Caenorhabditis elegans: one gene and its partners. The protein of the gene in region 3 interacts with the protein of the main gene of each other region in a pairwise test. Each region holds a gene or a part of one and is shown on either strand. Other genes may lie near its edges.

The links.
Region 1: the proteins of cebp-2 (region 3) and ces-2 interact in binary tests that used the Caenorhabditis elegans proteins (3 or more experiments, as listed by UniProt).
Region 2: the proteins of cebp-2 (region 3) and zip-3 interact in binary tests that used the Caenorhabditis elegans proteins (3 or more experiments, as listed by UniProt).
Region 4: the proteins of cebp-2 (region 3) and zip-11 interact in binary tests that used the Caenorhabditis elegans proteins (3 or more experiments, as listed by UniProt).

What each region holds. Positions count from the first base shown.
Region 1 is NC_003279.8:14,959,897-14,965,910, forward strand, and holds ces-2 (Transcription factor ces-2), read left to right. Parts: upstream 1-1,600; 5' UTR 1,601-1,630; coding exon 1,631-1,912; intron 1,913-1,964; coding exon 1,965-2,027; intron 2,028-4,834; coding exon 4,835-5,125; 3' UTR 5,126-5,465; downstream 5,466-6,014. UniProt on the Caenorhabditis elegans protein: Transcription factor. Required to activate programmed cell death in the sister cells of the serotoninergic neurosecretory motor (NSM) neurons. Negatively regulates the activity of ces-1 which in turn negatively regulates the activities of cell-killing genes.
Region 2 is NC_003280.10:13,951,536-13,959,304, forward strand, and holds zip-3 (Transcription factor zip-3), read right to left. Parts: upstream 6,046-7,769; 5' UTR 5,848-6,045; intron 4,456-5,847; 5' UTR 4,430-4,455; coding exon 4,339-4,429; intron 2,632-4,338; coding exon 2,459-2,631; intron 1,879-2,458; coding exon 1,668-1,878; intron 1,028-1,667; coding exon 885-1,027; intron 839-884; coding exon 533-838; 3' UTR 371-532; downstream 1-370. Other genes in the region: sre-44 (Serpentine Receptor, class E (Epsilon)), read left to right, coding at 130-334; Protein rpi-1, read right to left, coding at 7,704-7,758.
Region 3 is NC_003279.8:6,251,322-6,254,128, forward strand, and holds cebp-2 (CCAAT/enhancer-binding protein homolog 2), read left to right. Parts: upstream 1-1,760; 5' UTR 1,761-1,762; coding exon 1,763-1,860; intron 1,861-1,905; coding exon 1,906-1,993; intron 1,994-2,040; coding exon 2,041-2,157; 3' UTR 2,158-2,263; downstream 2,264-2,807. Other genes in the region: cof-2 (Olfactomedin-like domain-containing protein), read left to right, coding at 1-31, 74-197, 242-339, 598-695, 752-911, 954-1,058, 1,107-1,208, 1,273-1,479; lpd-2 (LiPid Depleted), read left to right, coding at 2,380-2,505, 2,553-2,690, 2,736-2,807. UniProt on the Caenorhabditis elegans protein: Transcription factor that binds to the promoter and the enhancer regions of target genes. Regulates expression of genes involved in fat metabolism, including ech-1.1 and fat-5.
Region 4 is NC_003282.8:3,309,593-3,313,733, forward strand, and holds zip-11 (Transcription factor zip-11), read left to right. Parts: upstream 1-1,683; 5' UTR 1,684-1,975; coding exon 1,976-2,016; intron 2,017-2,572; coding exon 2,573-2,733; intron 2,734-2,799; coding exon 2,800-3,072; intron 3,073-3,121; coding exon 3,122-3,333; 3' UTR 3,334-3,597; downstream 3,598-4,141.

The DNA of each region.
Region 1 (6,014 bases), 8.7 Mb from region 3:
CAGTATTACTAGCCATTGCGTAAGTTCAAAAGAGGGACCGATGAGCACATGGTACTTGAAAGAGGATGAAAGGTCGGGAGGATGAATATTGTTGCATGAAGAGAAGTGATTTCGGATGCATGTGAAGCCTTGGTGGTAATATTAATGATATCCCTCTAATATTGAATTTTTAAGATGTGCTCTCAAACGTGAGGGTTTAATTGTTGAAAGTAAGGCCATAAAATTAAAACCCTGAATTTTAGAATACTGACTGCTGGTAATTAAATCTTCATTTCTCATTGATTTCAGGTGATTTCAGACAGCATCAAAACATTCATTCAATGTTTCAACAAATCCGTAACCCAACAAACCTTATTACCTAATGACTACCTACCATTCAAATACTTGCGTAATGATTGTCTCTTCCTCCATGTCTACCACCAACCCCTCATTCTCCTCTTCAGAAGAAGAGCCGACGTTCCAATGCACACGAGACACCTATCTCTCATAGAAAACGAATATTCAAATGCCATTGCATACGGTTGCTCTGCGTCTCGTTCTCTTCCCGTGCTCTCTAGTGTTGCGCACTGTTGCACCCTCTGATGGCCGGTGGTGACCTCTTGGAGGGCGGGCGGAAAATGCTGCCACCCTCATCCCGCATACCGCCTGTCATTTCTCGAGACAGCCGACGCGCAATCACTCTTATGCTCCGATGGGTATATGGGGCAACAGGGTGGTCCCAGTAGACCCAATTTCTTACAACTTCGTTTTTTTTTAGTTTTTGATTCTACTAATAAAAAATCATATGTAACTTTGAACTACAAAAATCGCGCAAAACTCTTAAGATGTTTCCAGTTACAATACTCTGATAAAACTTAAATTATTCACAAAAAAATATAGATTTCAAATATGACTACTGTAGAGGTCATTTCATTTCCTCCCCATCTAACGTATGCATCTTGAATTTTCTTCAGTGATCATTTTTGATTAAGAAATGTATTCTAGAGCTAAAAACTTGAATTATATTATATACTCTTTTGTAATAACAATTAGCCTACTTCAACTTTTCATTTTAAGATATGACAAGCAAAATTCCAATTATTTTGATTAAACACAACTTTTCAAACTTGTTAAGTAACTTGAGGATCCACATTGACTTTATCAGTACTCACCGCTTATCTAACAACCTCTACCAATTCAGGTTCCACCCTAATCCTAGATTGTCTCTTTCCTCCATTTCCTTTTACTCTTTTTTATGATTGTGCAAACATTTGACCTCTTTCTTTTCTACCTTCCAATATATTCTTCTGTTCAATTTAATTTACCATGGGCATATCTTTGTTTTTTTTTTGAAACGGAATTGGATGGTGTAACCTGAAACATGGCTGGTCTATAGTTGAATTTTCAAGCTTATAGTTTATGAAACTCTAAAAATGTTTTAATCAAAAGTTCAATATTGACGTACCCTATTACATCAATTAAAGGATTTTTTTGGGAATTTTCCATCTAGCCTTTGTCTTCTAGGGTTAAAACTATTCACTTAGCTTATCCATCGGAAGTTTAAACTGAAAATCAAACATTTACCTCTTCAACTCTCTTATAGTTAATAAATCTGTGTCTTTTTTAGCCCCAAATTATCACAGCAGACGCAATGGACTTTCATAGAGCACTATCGGCGCTTTTCACAAATCAAGCAGCCGTTCAACCACTGCTCGGCTCACTTGGTTTCCCATTCAACGACGGAACTTCTATTCTGACGACTGCACTTGCTGCACAGTCCGGCGGAAAGAAGTTGGACACTCCGTTGGGGATTTTACCATTTGACTCACTGCCCACGACAAATCTTTTAACACCAACCAAGAAGATCAAACTAGAAGATGAATTGTGTGCCAGTCCAGTGTCAAGCAGGTCGAGTACGGTTAGCAGTTCACACGTGAGTTGGGAAAAATTATTAGCACTTATAAAACTATTGGAATTATTTTCAGTTTTCAAGTCCCCAACGGTCACCATCACGAAAGATGTCGGTTCCGATTCCAGAAGAAAAAAAGGTTTGTTTCAATTTTTTAAGTTTCAAGTGTATACAATTCCAAAAAATCTGAAAACCAATAGAGACTTACCATGAGGTTAAAAATATTCATAAATCGTATTTGCGTGGTCTTAAGTTCAAATCACTACAGTTACGTAACACGACTCCTGTTAGTTACGCAACGACGACCGCGAGGTGTCTGTTGGAGATGGTTTATGGGTGTCAGAATTTTTGATAGTGTGAAAGTCAACTAGTATTAACGCCCCCACCCAAACTATTATAATTATAAGTTGCCTTATTTACCGTATTCCTGGAGTTTCCTCTTAGTGCGGAGCATTGTCAACGCCATTTTGTCTCTAAGCTATGCTAATGAATAATTACTCCTAACAATCCCAATTCAAAAATCCGCTGGTTGTTCCTGGGATAATGCGGTACAGACTGCCTCCAATTAAGAGCTCTTCGAGATTCGGCTCATTGTTTAGCACCACCCAACTGTTGCCATAAGAAAAAGAAGGGGTAATTACATACAGTCTACCTGACAGAGAAACCTTCATGTGTGTGGAGGAATTTGAATATGAATATACGAGAGGGGCATGACCGGACAGGAAGGGGTGTTGCGCAACTATACCCCCGTAGAGGACTTGGGCTACCATTTATATTATTCAAATGAGGCGGGAATTCAAAAAATTAAGATCAGCATCACTTCTTGTTCAGCTAGCATCAAATACTAAGTAAGCTATATTTACTGCGTCGTACAAGTACCCACATTCTCATTTTGTAAAAAAATTGTAATTTTTCGTAGCGCCAGTGCGAAATGGCCAAATATCATAGTGGCACGTTGCCGGCCAATATTCTATTTGCTTTCGGTTTTATGGCCATTTGCCTGAGTTTTTCAAACACATATTACTTAAATACTATAATAGTTAACAAATAATTTTCAACTAACAAAATGTTACCGGTTACTTTTTCTACATGTGTAATTTAAAAAAATAATTTCCACAGAATTTTCAACTTTTTGCAATTTGTTGTTTTGTCACAAAGTGCCCAGGGAAATTTATACAGATGACTAAACATGCATTACAAAAGTCAGAACTGACCAAATTTTCTGTAAATGCGAGCAAAATTTTTGTTTAGGTTCTGAGTTTAAAAACATTTCAAACATGTTGCAAACATTCGTGATGTAAGTTTTCGTTACAAAAACTATTATATAAAGCTATTTAATAGGATTTTTAAAACATGCTCAAAATCTAGAAATTTGAGAATCATGTTCAATCCTCTGTATTATTTTTCCTGGTCGATTGATGACAGAACTGCAAATGGCAGAGTGTAGAAAAATTGGTGCAAATTATTTTCTTATTAAACTTTGTTTCATGAGCACAAAGTTGTGGGTCACTTAGCAATTCTAGTCAAAATATAGTCCCGGCTGATTTCAGCTGATGTAGCTTTTTTCGTAATAAAGTTATGTAAACCAACATCAAGAGTGTAGACAAAATGAACGGCAACATTTTGTTAATTAAAAATATTTTGCTAGATGTTATCGTATTCGAGTTATACTTGTTTGAACAACTCAAGCAAATCACCTTAAAAGCGAAAACGAATAGAATATTGGTCGGCACTGTATATGTTGTCGTTTTATGAAACTTTAATGTCCTTCTGTAACAAAAGACTCAAACTTTTTTGGCCTAACGCATATTACATCTAAGTTTTCTTTTACGGGCGGTGCCCCTCCGAGCATAAAACATACGGAAAAATATATAGAGGGGTCGTACATTTTACACAACAAAACCCACTCATTCTGGTGAACGGCATACGGTGGTTAGAAGAGAGGCTTACACAAAACACAACTGTCACACCGATTTTTTGAATAAACTTACGTGAATATGAGATACTTTTCCTTTGATATTTAATATGGGATTTGCGATAATGTGTAGCTCTTGTTTTATAAAACGGAATAACTTTGGCATATTCCTTAATAAAGTATATGAAAACTCAAAAAGTCGCATAAGAAATAACTAGTAGTGTATGTGTGCTTCATATCTTTTCGGGGATATGAAATATTAAAAACGTACAACTAATGAAATGTATAAAATTATTTAATTATTGTATTTTTGCTTAAAAAAGTTCTTCTAAATAATTTATCTTGAAGCTACATGGAAAAATGGGGAAAAATGGTATCATCAAAATTTCGGCCTAGCGTACTTCAACTGACCCTAACTCAAAAACAACAAAAGATACAGAACAGTCATCAACTAACACATTGTAGTGCTTGAAATGCTTGTTAATTTTGTAGTTGATCATTTTTTCATATCTTTTACGTTTCAGGAGTTAGCGTCGTTCAAAGTTTAAAAAGTCATGTTTGCAAGCATTTTCGGCACTTTCAACTGATATTGTTGTATCGATACGCTATGTATGAGGATGTTATTACACTAATGTGCTAAACTAATAGTCTATTACCTGAGGGTGTATAAGTTTTCGATTTCCCAAAGAAATGACAAAAATCGGAAAAATTAAATGTTTTGATCGGCAGAGAACGGAGTTGGAAATAATCTTAACGGTGCCCATCATGGCTGATATTGATAGGCTTGTCATTCTAACTGTCTTCTATATATCCACAAAAAATATCCTAGAAAAAATCAAAACTGAAAAAAAAACGACAAAACTTATTTATCACCCTAATAGAATTATGATTCTTTGCTAGGCTAACTGTGCTTAGAGATTTATTAATTCCTAGTTGATAGGCTTTTCGCAAATTGTGTATTACTTTTGTAGACTAATAAATTCCTAGTTTCTGAAAACTTAACAAATCACAATTAATCTCAGCAATTACAGGACTCTGCATACTTCGAGCGTCGGCGCAAAAACAACGATGCAGCGAAACGTTCGAGAGACGCACGTCGTCAAAAAGAAGAACAAATCGCATCAAAAGCTCATGCTTTAGAACGGGAAAACATGCAACTACGTGGAAAGGTCTCAAGCTTAGAGCAAGAGGCCGCGCAGCTCAGATTTCTCCTCTTCTCCAAAATCTCACCAGCAAATTCTGAAGTGTCCTGCGAGTCAAACGATTCAACGGAAACTAATGATTCTAATGATTCTAAAAGCGATTCAACCATTGAAGTATGAAATTGTTTGTATTTCATATACCGGACGCTTAAAAAAAGATTAGTGTTGTTTACGCACTTTTGTTGTAAATTTACAGTCGTTACTTCAAAGCTTCTATTTATTTGAATGTTTCTCTAGGTTCTTGAAATTGCTTTATTTTTCTTTCCTTAGCTTTAAATCGGTTCTCTATACCACCCATTCATCTTGATCTATCTCTTAAGCTTTCATTCTCCCTACCTCAATCCCCTATCAGGTTATTCATCTGCGGGTGCGTGTATATTTCCTGATAGTTTTTCAACTTATCATTGATGATTTTTCTACAAATTCTTATTTTGACAATAAATATTGTGTATGCATTTTATGTACTTTTTTGACATTTTTTTTCTAAATGGTTCAGAAATATATGTATTTGATATATTATAGTACACAATATAATAAGATCTGTAACCAACTTTGTAATATTTTGCACTTTATAATAGTTCTAAAAGAATTAAACCTGAATTTTTTAACTCGGAATATATGAATGAGTTTTAAACAATTCCAAATATTTACATTCTTGACTTTTTGTAGCCATTAATTTATTATAAACTGTAGAAGTGACACTTGTCACTATCTAAAATTCGGTGTGCTAGGCAACACTCCTAAGTTATTATTTGTTGCTCCTCGAATTTCAAAAAACTTCTCAAAATTTATGGCGGTTCAAAATTTCGAAAAAGTACACTGATTATAGCTAGCATCTCAAACTTTGCTTACTTTTCTGTGTCGCATCTGTCCGATGTTGAATTTTTTGGAATTATCGTCTTTTATTGCATTTTTTGGTATTTTATTTTTATTTTTTTATTGTTTTATTTCGTTAATTAAACCGATAGGTAATCAAACATCCTCTATATTGTTTACATCTTTAAATGTA
Region 2 (7,769 bases), on a different chromosome or scaffold from region 3:
GGGAAGACTCGGGGCTTGCTCCGACTTCCCAAGGGTCGTCCTGGCGTTGCACTGCTGCCGGGCTCGGCCCAGTCCCCGCGGGGACAAAATTGAATACGCATCTATTACTAATACATTTTCAATTTCCAGAGGCCCCTCATTCATTGGCCCGACACTGATCCATTCCGTCGATGCTTGGAGGAACTATGAACTTTGTCCATTTTCCAACAAGATTGTAGCAGTGGCACGGAAAACTACAATAGTCAAGGTGGTTCCAGTGGAGTGTGACAAAGATTCCGAGTTGCGGAAGGAGACGGACACATATTTTCGACAATTGAACAATTCTTGGTCATAGTTATTAGGGTTATTAGGTTGTATTAAAATATATATTAAAAAATATAAAATTTCATATAAATGCATCAAATTACAAAAATCATAAGTGAATATAATACCAAATTTGTACATAAAATTAGAATACCAAAAAAAAAACTCATGTAGATTGTCACGGGGATAAGGTAGGCATATTGTAGGCATGTTATCACAACACAACTCATCACTGTCTTCCGAGCACCGCTTGCTTCAGCCGATCAATTTCCCGCTCCATTCGGGACACCTGATCGCGGAGCTCATCGTTCCGTCGGGTCAGGTCACCGAGCTCACTCTCGGCGCTCTCGCGAGCCTCGCGTTGTCGCTTGCGGTACCGGGCAGCCGCTAGGTTGTTCTGAATTCTCTTTCGTCGGAGAATTTCCTCGGGAGACTCTTCCTCTTCACGACCTTCTTCGATTTGGGAATCTTTGAGGGCGACGACGACGAGCTTGACAATTTCTTCGATTGACATTTGTTTCTTGCCGTTTTGGAGCTGCAAAATAAGCTCATATTTTGGATTTTGAAACCCCAATTCTTACCACTAAATGCTCCTGAATCTCCCGTTTCACGTCAAATGGAATGTCCTGGGGAATCACTAGATCCTGTGGTTGTTGCTGAAGCATTCCAGATGATGAGGATTGTGGAGCAAAGGAAGAGTATGGTGGTGGAGCCATTGGACATTCTGGAAATTTTTTCTTTAATTTTTGTTTCCAATTTTACAGAGTTCAGAACTGGAAATTCGATGAAAAATGCCCCCAAAATTTTTTTTTTGCCGTTTTTTTTTCTATTTTAGGCAGTTAGAATCAGTTTGAATGAGTTTTTTGGCCAGTTTTTTACAAGGAAATTAAGGGAAATTTATTGGAAATGGTTTTGAAAACCAATAATAAGAACACTTTTGGTGTTCAAAAATACAGATTTTGTGAAATTCAATCAGTCTCACACATGGTGTCAGGCTGATCCATTACGGTTTGATCTACAAAAATTGCAGGAACTTTTTCCCCAAAAAAATGAGACGCAAAATCAGTTGAGAAGTCTGCGTCTCTTCTCCCGCATTTTTTGTAGATCTACGTAGATCAAGCCGAAATGAGACACTCTGACTGACCACGTGGTCTCGGAAAAAAATTGGCAGAACTTTGAAATTTTCTAAGAAAACGATTTTGGCTGGAAATTCAAATTTTCTGCGAAAAGCATTTTGGCGGGAAATTCAAATTTATCAAGAAAAATGTTTTGGCGGGAAATTCAAATTTTCTGCGAAAAACATTTTGGCGGGAAATTCAAATTTTATGTTAAATTTTTTTTGGAGGGAAACTCAAGTTACTCACGAGTTCCAAGTGGCACACCATTCGTATCAACTGGAATCGGGTGCGGAGCAATCGGGCTCATAACCATATGATATTGACCTGGATGGAACATCATTTGTTGCTGGGGCATTAGTGTTGATGGGTCAAATGTTGGTGGTTGTTGAGGTAATGGGAGCGGGGTGTAGTAGTTGGATGGTTGAGGAGTTGTTGGACACGAGAAGTCTGGTGAGGCCTGGAAAATGTTTGAAGCTTGAGAATTTTTAATCAAAAATTGGCGGAGATTCTCCCAGTTTTGTAGAAAATATTTGAGTTACTTATAGTTAGGAATTATCAAAAAAAACGGTTTCCAAAAAATGGAACCTACAAAGTTAGGCTTAGCAAGACAGTAGGTAAATAGTGATTTCCAAAACTAACCAAATATTTCTCAAAATATCTAGATTTCACGTAGTGTCAGAGTGTTTCAATTCGGCTTGATCTACGTAGATCTACAAAAAATGCGTGAGAAGAGTCGCAGAGTTTTCAACTGATTTCGTATGGTTAAGAACGTGCTGACGTCACATTGTTTTGGACGAAAAATTCCCGCATTTTTTGTAGATCAAAACGTGATGAGACAGCCTGGCACCAATTTTTTTGAATTACCGGAAAATGGCATTTACAAATTCTTAAAATCGAAAAAAAATCGCATTCAATTTGAAGCAATTTTTGAAAGTGTGCACCAAAATTTAAGCTAAAATCTCCAAAAAATAGTTTCAAAAACCAGAAAAAAAGTCCCAAAAAATGGCAGAAACTAAAAATTTTTGATCTAAACTAACCGGCGATGATCTTTCAATATACTCCGCTTCGGACACAATTTCTCGATAAATATCGTATTCCGTACGATTCGACGGGACACTCAAAAGGTGTGGAGCCGCTGAGTCAGAAGCTCGAAAATTCGGAGCCACCGATGGAGCTGCCGGCGGAGCAAACTTTGGTGGAACTGGCGGCTCTGCAAGAATTGAAACAAAATGTTGATTTCATCTTTTTCTCTTTTTCTCTTGTTCGTTCAAAAGTGTCAGGCAAACATAATATGATGCAATTTTAGTTGGTTTGGGTGTATGTGAGTATGCTGATAACTTATAAAGAGAGGAAGATGCGCAGAGAACTGGAGATATAGACTGTAAGAATGCAAGAGACGCAGACTATGAACATGACCATGTTGACCGTAAAAAGTAGAACGCTGCCAAAAAATAATAGGAAGAAAACATGTGGTCTTGCAAATTTTGAAGCACCTCTGGAATTGTTTCTCAATTTTTAAAAAAATCTCAATAAAAAATTTAGAAAATCGTAAAAAAGCGTACACTTACAAGCAAAATTCCTAGAAGTTTTCGTTTTTTTTGCAAATTTTTTAGAACTTCTTTGTGAAAAGCACATGTCAAAATTCGGCAAAAAATTACTTGAAAATTTCTGAAAAATTTCCAAAAAAAAAAAAATTAGAAATTTTTAGGGTTTTTTTTTTCAATTTCGACAAAAAATTCCGAAGCTCTCGAAGCAAAATGTTCTCATCAAAATTCCAAAAAATTGGAGTTTTCATCTTAAATTCACAAAAAAATGAACCATTTTGTGGGCGGAGTCGAACATAGACCCCGCCCACTTCTTGGTTTACTTTCCGATTTTGAAATAAGTTTTCAAAACACCGCTTTGAAGTTTTTGCCATTTTCTATAAATTTTTACATTTTCACGGAGTTATAGATGTTCCGAAATTCGAAACACATTTCCAACTATGAATAGACCACGACCATTTTCTGGGCGGAGCTAACATTGTGGTCACGCCCACTTTTTGGAGAAAAAAAGCTCTACTAACAGGGGGAAAACTACTTAGATTTCAAACAAAAAACAAAAAACCAAAAAAAAAGAACAGTTCTTCTCGTCGGTCACTTCTACGACCACCACCTGCGAACAAAATGTGACGTGAGAGAGAAAGGAAAGAAGAAATTGAAGATTGAAATATTTGATAGATGAGAAATAGAATGTATGAGACTGATGCCAAATAGATAATGCAATTTTTCGGAAGGGTACTGTAGTTTTTAGCAAAGTTTTGAGACGTTTCGTGACATTTTGAACTTTGCTTTAAACAAAGGGGCGGAGCTTAAATTTGCAAAATTTTACTAAAAATCCCCTTTAAATGCAATATGTATAGCCCGACAATTTCTGGGTTCCACGCCACACTATTTACAACTTTGCAGTGGGCGAAATCCGGCAGTTGTCGGACCATTAAGATTTTTGCAAGCAAGCACGGGGTCTGGCCTTCCTCATTGAATTTTTTGCGCTCCATTGACAATTGCCTGCCGGACAACGCGTGGAAAAGTTGTGTACTCCACACACGGACAAATACATTTAGTTTTACAACTAAAAACTAGCCGCGACGCGACACGCAAAGCGCCGTAAATCTACCCCAGATATGGTCGAGTCAAAATGGCCTAATTCGGCCTAAACTCTTCCATTTCAATTTATGAGGGAAGCCAGAAATCGGTGAGCAAGCCATGCCCACGAAATGGGCAATTTTTTCCACAAATAGGGAGAGCTCGGAGCAAAGAACACTTAACATTTTCAAAATTGATAAATTAGTTAGGTTTGACAGAAAAAAAAATCAATCAATCAATCAAATGGCGTGAGAAAATTTGAGAATAAGTGACGTTTTTTGCATAAAGCTCACCTGGTTTGCTGGAAGATCGTTTCCGGAATCCGATAAAAGAGCCGAAAAATCCACGCCGCATGAAGTCGTCCGCATCGTATGACGGCTGCATTTTTGGAGACAGGGAAGGTTTTTTCACTGGAAAAAATGGAAATTTACAGTGCGGAAGTTTTTTTAGTTTCTGTAAAATATAATATTTAGAAAATAAAAATCAAAAAAAAAACTCAAATCTGATAGCTTAAATCTCTGCTGTTTTTGGTTTTATAAAAAAACGTTTAATTTATTTATGTTTTTTTTTGTTTATGTTTGTACCATTTTGCAGTTTAAAGTAATGTTCTGTAGCTCCTAAATGGTTTGAAACCAAAAAGTTTCTAACGGAGCAAAATTGAATGAAAAAAAAAATTTAGTATAGGTCTTTTGAAAACTGCTGACACAATCAAAAATTGTAAATTTTCACTTCTGGTTTTTTTTATTTGCTTTACAGATATTTCAACAAATTCTCATTTTCAAAATAGAACATTTTACAAAGTTTTAGACAAATTTAGTATGACTTTTTGAGACACTTTTTGGAAATATTGAACATTTTTAAACAACCCTCAACCTATTTCAAAAACAAATTTTATTCTACTTTTCATTAAACTGGATTTTTGAACTTTTTACACACTCCGTATTACTTTTTCACAATTATCAAAATGAAAAAATCAATAAAATTAAAAACAATGAATTCCAATTCATCTAATCATAAAACTACCATAAAAAGCGGCTGGAAAACTCCGAAAAAAAAGGAAAAAAAAACTGAAACCGTTTGATTGGTTGGAGAGAAAAAGAGAGACGGTGCTGATAACAATTATTTGTAGGAAGACAGGTACTTCTCGAGCCTTGTCTGTGCATTTTGTGTTGCTCTCACTCTTCTACTCTCCCGATAACAACAGGACACTATTTCAGAGCACACTTTGGTCACACACCGGTGCGGTGGAGCACACTTGCACTATGAACTTTTGATACTGGTAGGTAGGCAAGCAGGCAAAAAGTAGGCCTATGAGGTAGGCTGGTACTGTGAGTGTCTAAATAGGTCACACAGAATCCTTACCGAATCTATGTCAGTGCCTATAGGCGTCTCAAAAACGCCTGCCTGCTTGAAAGACTGTAAACGCCTGTATATTACTTGCCAAGTACCTATCTAGTACCTACCTAATACCTACATTTTACCTATTTGGTGCTTATCTAGTGCCTACCCAGTACCTACCTATTTACAACTGTGTACCAAAACGCCCTAGTGCCTATCTAATATACCCACCTAGTATCTACCTAGTACCTACCTAGTGCACATCTAGCGCCTACCTATGTGGTACCTTTCAAGTGCCTATCTAGTACCTACCTAGTACCTACTTAGTATCTACCTACTGCCTATCTAGGGACTACCTAGTGCCCACCTAGTACCTATATATGCAGGCCAACTATTACCAATAAAAATACCAAAAAGTTCACGTAGAACTGATAAAATTTATGTTGTCACTTAAAAATACCTACCTCTACTGTCACAAACCGTGTCAGGAGATCCCCATCATCCGGTAATGCTTTAAAAAATCCACCAAAAGCTACTCTGAATTTCAAATTTTACCTATGAAAACGTGCACAAACAACTAATAAAATCAAGTTCGAGTGTGTGAGAAGCCCCCGGAGGGCTCAATGAGCTCGTTATCAGCGCGGCTCCTAACACAGAAGGGGTATGCAAGAATTCAGTGAAATATGGTGGTGATAACGGAGGGATTATTTATTGACGTTTCATCAATAAATCAAGAAAATCGAGCACAAAATGCAAAAAAGGTAGACGATTGACTACACTTTTTGTTGACTCGAGGATTTTTATCATTTGTTAAACTGTGACCAAACTGTAATAGGATTATGATTGGCTTCTGGGTGATCAGGAACAAGAAAAAAGTGCCTACCTAGTGCCTACCTGGTACCTACTTAGTGCCTACTTAGTGCCTACCAAGTACCAACTTAGTGGCTAAATAGTACCTACCTAGTACCAACTCAAGACCTACCTAGTGCTTACCTAGTGCCTATCCTAATACCTACCTACCACATACCTAGTACCTACCTAGTGCCTTCCTAGTACCTTCCTAGTACCTTCCTAGTACCTCCCTAATACCTACCTAGTACCTATCTAGCACCTGCCTAGTACCTGCCTAGACCCTACTTAGTGCCAACATGGTACCTACCAAGTACCTACCTTGTACCTACCTAGTACCTAAAAAATTTAATTTTCTAGGTTTTGATAGTTGACAACTTTTTCATATCTGTTATCAATACAGATAAAATTTAAATTTTAAATTTATTTTTTGTTGCAAAATTGACTTTTGGGAAACAAACAGGTGGTGATAGTTTGATCTTTTTCCCATCTCTTTATCATTAAAGAGAATTAGTGATGCAGAGAAATAAAATCGTGTGTTCTGATGATTTTGCATCATTTTCCGCATTTCTGGAACTTTATTTATTTTTTTCTAAATTCACCACAACTTTTTGAAAAACATAAAGATCATACCAACTTAAAGCAAAATTCAAAATTGCGACTTTCTATTCAAAAAAAAATTTCAAAAAAAAATCAATACACAAAACAAAGAGACAGAATTGATAAAACTGGTGTCTATCACTGATCTCATCAACCCACCCGGTTTCGGTCTGCAAAGTACGCACGAGAAACGCGTCAGCAATGGACGTCTTGTCCGAGTTAAGTTCCCCCGAACAAAGTACTGATAAAATGAGCAAAAAACAAATTTTGATTGAGAGTTGTAGATACTGAAAAGTTCAAAAAAAGTGAAAAGTGTAATGCCAGAAATAGTAAAGTTTTCGGATTAATAAAACAATTGTGACTAAATGCCTACCTCGTACCTACCTAGTACCTATCTAGTACCTGCCTAGTACCTGGCTAATACCTAGCTAGTACCTGCCTACTACCTAAAAAGTGTCTATGGTGTGCCTACCTGGTAGCTACTTAGCACGTACCTAGTACCTACTAAGTACCTACCTGGTACCTACATAGTACCTACCTAGTACGTAGCTACCTTATACGTACCTACCTTATACGTACCTAGTACCTACCTACTTTTTTATGCAACAAATATCCGTAACAAAACTGTGTTACGTGAGTTTTCAAGACTTTTTTCTGTAAAAAAAATTGATAAGAGAATTTCAAAATTTTTGACTTTGAAATGATGTATGAACTTTCCAAATTTTTTTGCGAAAAAGTCATGTAAAGTTGAAAGATGAAAGTCTAGCCATTTATTAATAAGTGAGGAGATTTTTGACAGAAAAATGTTGACGAGGAAGAGGGATAAGTTGAAGGGAAAAATATTTTGAAAAAAAAATCACAGAGAAATCAATCATTTTTTGGCTTCATCTCCTTTCTTGTGGTCTTCTTCAGTGGATCCGGAAAATCTGAAATTATA
Region 3 (2,807 bases):
ACATCAACCAATGCCTGGATTGGTTCAGCAGGTGACTTCAGTAATAACTTTCAGATCCAAAGCATATTTTCAGATCCTTTCCAACTACAGTGAAGTCGAGGGATGCGTGAAAATATGTTTGAAAAACTACACTCTCGATGAAGAAATTGAAGAGACCATTACGACTCCAGTTGCATATATTCAAGGAGTTACTGCCCGTAAGTATTATATTCAGTCTTAAAAGGAGTTGAAGAATGTTAAGATTGCCGACTTCAAAACGTTGGAAAACCTGTGTTCCATTCTCATTCTACAACATATTATGGAAGCTGGATGAGAGATGCATACCCTCCAACCGGCGATGTAAGTTTGGGAGCTTGAAAATGGAACTGAAAAATTTGCTCACACTTTATTCAACTCTTTCTGTATGTATGTTCGTGGTTCATTTTTCGGAGGCGTTTTCCGGTCGAGACGTTCGGGCATGAAAATGCTAAAAAACCGGGAAAAAGTAAAAAAAAGTTTGGAAAGCTGTCACAAACCGAAACTCACTGGTTCGCCGAGTACTGGTATACTGTACATTATGAGAAAGGCATATCTCAACATATGTATATCTTGTTTCAGGACGCTAGAAAACGATACGTAATGAACCATTTCCAAGGCCACGAGCTCATCGAATTTAGGAATGAAGCTGAAATGCGACGGGACCATGTCGGAAAAGTGTATGGTTTTCTTTCAAAATTTTTCAAATATTTGAGAACTTTTTATTCTTTTTCAGCCATCGCCTTCCATATATATTCGATGGAACAAATCATGTTATTTTCAATGCATCTCTTTTCTATCAAAGAGCAGGATATCCAATTATTGCAAAATACGAGTTCAACTCGAAACAGTACTCACAGTTTGAAATACCGGGAGCAGCTTATCGTGGGGATCAGGTGAGTTTTGAAATTGTTTTAAGTCAAAGTTTCCAATTTCAGTACCTTTATAATAATTCGATGAATTATTTTGACTTGGCAATCGATGAAAATGCACTTTGGGTCATGTTTCACTATCAGGAAGAAGCTTTCTTATCAGTAGCTAAAGTAATTTTAAGTTGTTCATTGAAATCTATCTACTAGGTACTATTCCAGGTGGATATAAATAATTTGACAATTTATGAGGCATTCAACCTCACGACAGTAAATCATACAGATGTTGCAAATGGAATCGTCGTTTGTGGAACAATTTATTTGGTTTAGAATTTTTTATTTGATATCAAGCTTGACCAATAGCAAAATCAAATCAACATTATTCCAGGTGGAAAGTGCATCAGAACAATCCACGTATATCTCTACGGCATACGATTTCTACAGAAACACATACTCCCAACCTTTGATTAAATGGATTAATTTGTACAAGAACGCCAATATGATTAGCTATAATGCTTATGATAAGAGAATTTACATCTACGATCATGGTTATATGCTCTCTGTACCTCCACTTTTGCATTGGCTGGCTAAATAATTTGTGTAGTACATAGTTCATTTACTATATTTTAAAATAAATTCAGTTTTATTCGAGAAATATAAAGTAATTAATTTATCGTGAATATCGTGAAAGTAGCTCTTTCCTATATATTTTTTCAGGAGTTTTAGTTCCCCTTTCTCGAATTTCTGTGGTGTCTCACGCAACGACGCTCCGTTTTACACACTCGCGCGTACTTTATCGTAATTCCACAAAACCTTTTTTCCATCATTTTTCTATTAATTCCATAGTTTTCCTCGATTTTTTGTTGCAATTTCAAGCGATGAGTGGAAATCGGAAGCGAAACACATCAGAGCCTCGTGAGGACGATGAAGATGACTATTCCACTAAACGAAAACGGAATAACGAAGCTGTGAACAGGTAAAATTTCATTTTTAGCCGCTAAAATCTAATTAAAAATTCCAGAACCCGACAAAAAAAACGCCAGGAAGAAAATGACACTGCAGAAAAAGTAGACGAATTAAAAAAGGAGAACGAAACACTAGAAAGAAAGGTACTTGTTTACTTGATTTTTTAATTTTAATTAATTCCCTCTATCAGGTCGAGCAGCTACAGAAAGAGTTATCATTTCTTAAAGAAATGTTTATGGCATATGCGAAAAACGACGGAAATGATGGACCACCACCACCGCCACCACCATCTTCTTCCGCCGTGTAGATAACAATTTAATCAAAGATTTATCCACCATTTCTGTAAATTTTATACAAATAACTCAATTCACGCATTCCAATAACCAAAGAAAAATAAATTTAGAAAACGCTTTACTTTCTTTTTTAAACTGTTTTTTTTTGTGTGGTACGTTTCCAACAATTTATCTTGAATGATCTTATTAATTAACTTTTTGAATTTGTGTTGTATCAAAAAAAACGTTTCTTTCAGATGACCGAAACGGAGCAAGAAGCGTTTGCTGATTTAGTGGCAGAACTGGAAACTCAAACTGCAGAAGCAGTAAAAGCTTTCAGTAAAGTTTTCGATCGGATGGAGGAAACGAACGATGACAAAGAAGTGAAATGAAAACCTCAAGATTTATTCAAAAACTTTTTTATTTACAGGGGCTTAGTCTTCTGAAGCTGAAAAACTATGAAATGACAGCGTACCTTGGAGAGTTGACTGTCCTTATGTCGAAAATGATGAAAGGAGAGTCAATTACAGTAGAACCATCTGTTAAAAGAGCTTTAAAGCATAGAGTGGTATGTATTTTAGTATTCCAACTGTTCCTAAAAAACTAGTTTCAGTTCATTGAAAAAATGAAACCAGTCGAGGATAAGATGAAACCTCAAATTGAAAAGCTACTAGGCCGGTCAAGC
Region 4 (4,141 bases), on a different chromosome or scaffold from region 3:
AGTTCCCGAAATTAAAAAATGCCGGGAAATCGGCAAGTTGCCGGAATTGAAATTTCCGGGAAATCGGCAAGTTACCGAAATTGAAAATTTCCGGCAAATCGGCAAGTTACCGGAATTGAAAATTACCGGCAAATCGGCAAGTTACAGGAATTGAAAGCTTCAGGCAAATCGGCAAGTTACAGGAATTGAAAGCTTCAGGCAAATCGGCAAGTTACAGGAATTGAAAGCTTCAGGCAAATCGGCAAGTTGCCGGAATTGAAAATTTCCGGCAAATCAGCAAGTTACAGAAATTGAAAGCTTCAGGCAAATCGGCAAGTTGCCGGAATTGAAAATTTCCGGCAAATCGGCAAGTTACCGAAATTGAAAATTTCCGGCAAATTGGCAAGCTGCCGGAATTGAAAATTACCGGCAAATCGGCAAGTTACCGGAATTGAAAATTTCCGGCGAATCGGCAAGTTACCGGAATTGAAAATTTCCGGTGAATTGGCAAGTTGCCGAAATTGAAAATTTCCGGCGAATCGGCAAGTTACCGAAATTGAAAATTTCCGGCAAATCGGCAAGTTACCGGAATTGAAAATTACCGGCAAATCGGCAAGTTACAGGAATTGAAAACTTCAGGCAAATCGGCAAGTTACCAGAATTGAAAATTTCCGGCAAATTGACAAGTTACCGGAATTGAAAATTTCCGGCAAATCGGCAAGTTGCCGGAATTGAAAATTTCCGGGAAATCGGCAAGTTACCGGAATTGAAAGCTTCAGGCTAATCGGCAAGCTGCCGGAATTGAAAATAACCGGCAAATCGGCAAGTTACCGAAATTGAAAATTTCCGGGAAATCGGCAAGTTACCGAAATTGAAAATTTCCGGGAAATCGGCAAGTTACCGAAATTGAAGATTTCCGGCAAATCGGCAAGTTACCGAAATTGAAGATTTCCGGCAAATCGGCAAGTTACCGAAATTGAAAATTTCCGGGAAATCGGCAAGTTACCGAAATTGAAGATTTCCGGCAAATCGGCAAGTTACCGAAATTGAAAATTTCCGGCAAATCGGCAAACCGGCACTTTGCCGATTTGCCGGAAAATAAATTTGTAGAACGGTAATTGCCGCCCACCCCTGGTGCATCTCTTGTTGCACTTATAAACAAATAGTACAAATTGACCCTCTATCAATCCCAACAATCTCAATGATCGTTATGCTTGAACTTTTTCCCCTCCGAATTTCGTTACACTTTTCCCTTTGCTTGCTGGTTGATCTTTTCGTTTAGTTAGGCATTTCATTTCATTTAGGCCCTGCTGCCGCTGTGCAAAGGCGTTTCATTACGTTTTACGGCATGCGCCTTCTTTCTAATAAAGTGTCGGCTTATCTGTCTGCCGAGAGGCTTTTCGAGAACAAAGTGCATTTAAGTGCAGCTTATCGCCTTTTCCAAATGTTGCATATTCTACGAAAAACTTTTGGTATACTGATAAGGCGATAAGGCGAGTACCGGTGGACGCTACTCGCGCCAAAAGATACGAAAACCGAAAAACCATGTTCAGTGCCAAATAATTTAGAACACGTACATAAAAAAGAAGATGAAGCGAAAAATGGACAGATTTCCTTGAAAGCCTTCAATTTTTCAGAAAAAAATCGTCTTCTCCGATGACGTGGAATCCTCATCAATCACCTGAACTCTTCTCCTCAAAAGCTGCTGCTGTGTTTTCTTTTCTCTCACCTTTTCTCTTCTTTTTTTTTCTATTTTTCGAAACAAAAATCGGAGGACATCACGGCGCACACTCTGCGGTTCCACACCCCGCGCGCTATCTCACCGCACTGCCTAACCGACCTATCTCTGCGTCTCTCACGCCGGCACGCTCTCTCCGCGCTAAGGCCCGTCACAATCGATAGGCCGCGCTCGCTGTCTAGGCCTTTCATTCTTTCACCCACTCGCGTCTCGTCGTTCGACGCGCCTTCGCTTTTTTAAGGCAATTTTTCGACGAAAATGTGGCCCCCGAATGCAGAGAATAATCACTGCAATTATAGGTTTGTTTTAAAATGGAAATTTGTAATGGAAATTGAAATTGGAATTGATAAATTTTTAGGAAAGCCGAGAAAAATTTAATTTAAAGATTTTTCTATTCAATAATTAATAAAATAAATATGCAAATATCGATTTTCGCGAGAATAAAATATTAAAAATGCAATATATTCCATAAAAAATAGTGTTTTAATTAAAAAATATTCGAAAACCCCTTTTAATTATTGGCTATTTCTCACAATTTATAATATTAGAAGCCGAAAATCGATATTTTTCACAAAAATCAATTTTTTTTTCATTGAAATAATATTTTATTCTTATTTTTGCGATTTTTTCAGGTCTTATGCGGAATTTCAGAATTTTAAATTCCAAACTTAACTACAAAAGTCCGCATTTTCTCGTAAATTGTCGTGCAAGTACGCAAACACCATCAATTAAAAAAAAATTAATTTTTTTTAAAACGTTAAAAAAAAACGTTATAAACCCGTTTTTTGAGTTTAAATTCCAGGAAAATGGGCTATTTCGAATGTAAAAAGCAAAAATATATTAATATAATTTCAGCTACCATGAGCACGCCGAGCTGAACCCCCACGACCACTACCACCACCATCACTACCCGCACTCGTCGGTTCATCACACGGAATGCTATCAGACGCTGTCATGCCCATCGGATCTTCCAGTCGAGACGTCCTACTACAATTCTGTGCCACCATCCTATCAAGGTGATCGATTATTTACAATTTTCTGCCAAATCTGTCTTGAATTTTCAAAAACCAATAAATTTCCAGATCTCGGCCAAACCGATCTCAGCCCTCAATTCTGGTGCGCCGAAGTGGATTGTGTTCACGAACGTTGCTCAACAAAGGAGATTCCACATGAGCAATCGAAGATTTTCGAGGAAATCTCGAAAGAATGCGATCATATTATGAATAGCGCCGGCGACTGCGAGAAATGTCAAGTAGAGCACGAGAATGGTGCTCAAGAAGCGATTCCGATTAATGATCTCGTCGATATTGTAATGCAAACTGTCGATAATTTGAAGAAGGAAGGCTCGTCGAATGGTAGTTTTATTCAGGATTAAAATTAAAATTTAATTATTAAAATTTCCAGATGAAACCAAGCTTCTATCCCGTAAACGCCAGCAAAACAAAGTTGCGGCCGCCCGTTATCGTGACAAGCAGAAGGCGAAATGGCAGGATCTTCTGGATCAGCTCGAAGCCGAGGAGGATCGTAATCAGCGGCTCAAGCTTCAAGCCGGACATCTCGAGAAGGAGGTCGCCGAGATGAGACAGGCCTTCCTCGCCAAACTTGCCAAAAAATGATTCTTATATTATTTATGTCTCCAGCCATTTTCCCCCACATACTTGTATATCAGTTCAACGATATTCTCTGGAAATTATTAGTAGATCAAGCAACTCGGCAGATTTGGCTACCTGGCGCACACACGTGATGCGCATGGCGCGCGCTCGCAGCTCGCTAGTTATTTGGTATCAAGCGCCAGACGCGTTCTCTGCGCGCACCAGTTGCATTTCCATTATGTATTATCATTGTTATTTTTATATTAATAAACGAATTTTTAATAATAACACGCGTTTTTCAATAATCAAATGTGAGATTATACGATTTAGGGAACTTCAGGGCTCTAAAACTTGAAAAAATTGGCCAAAATCGAGAAACATTGCGAAAAACTGTTTAAAGTATCGATTTTCTTCAATATCAGCAACATACAATTCTTTAAAATGATTATTTTTTGTAAATTCGATAAAAATTAATTTATTTTTCACAATTTCTGCCCGAAAATTGCCGAAATGACCAGCGTTTCTAGAACTAAAACAAGTGTCGTCAATTAAAATGCCGCGTCCGCAAAATGTCGTACGAAACTTTTCGCTGAGTATCAAACGTTGAATATTCAGTCAGCCAAATTTTACTACGGTAGAGATTTTACAGCCACGTACGGTTCGCCGGGCCGTGTTAGTGCAATAACAACTTTTCGGAATGTGTGTTTGCACGAAAATGGGCGGGGTTTGTTGTTTACGTTGTTTACCGTATTGAAAAGGCGCGGTATTTCAAAAAATAGATTAGCGAGAGTTTTGAAAATCACAATTTTCCGATCGAATTTTTCATTCTTAC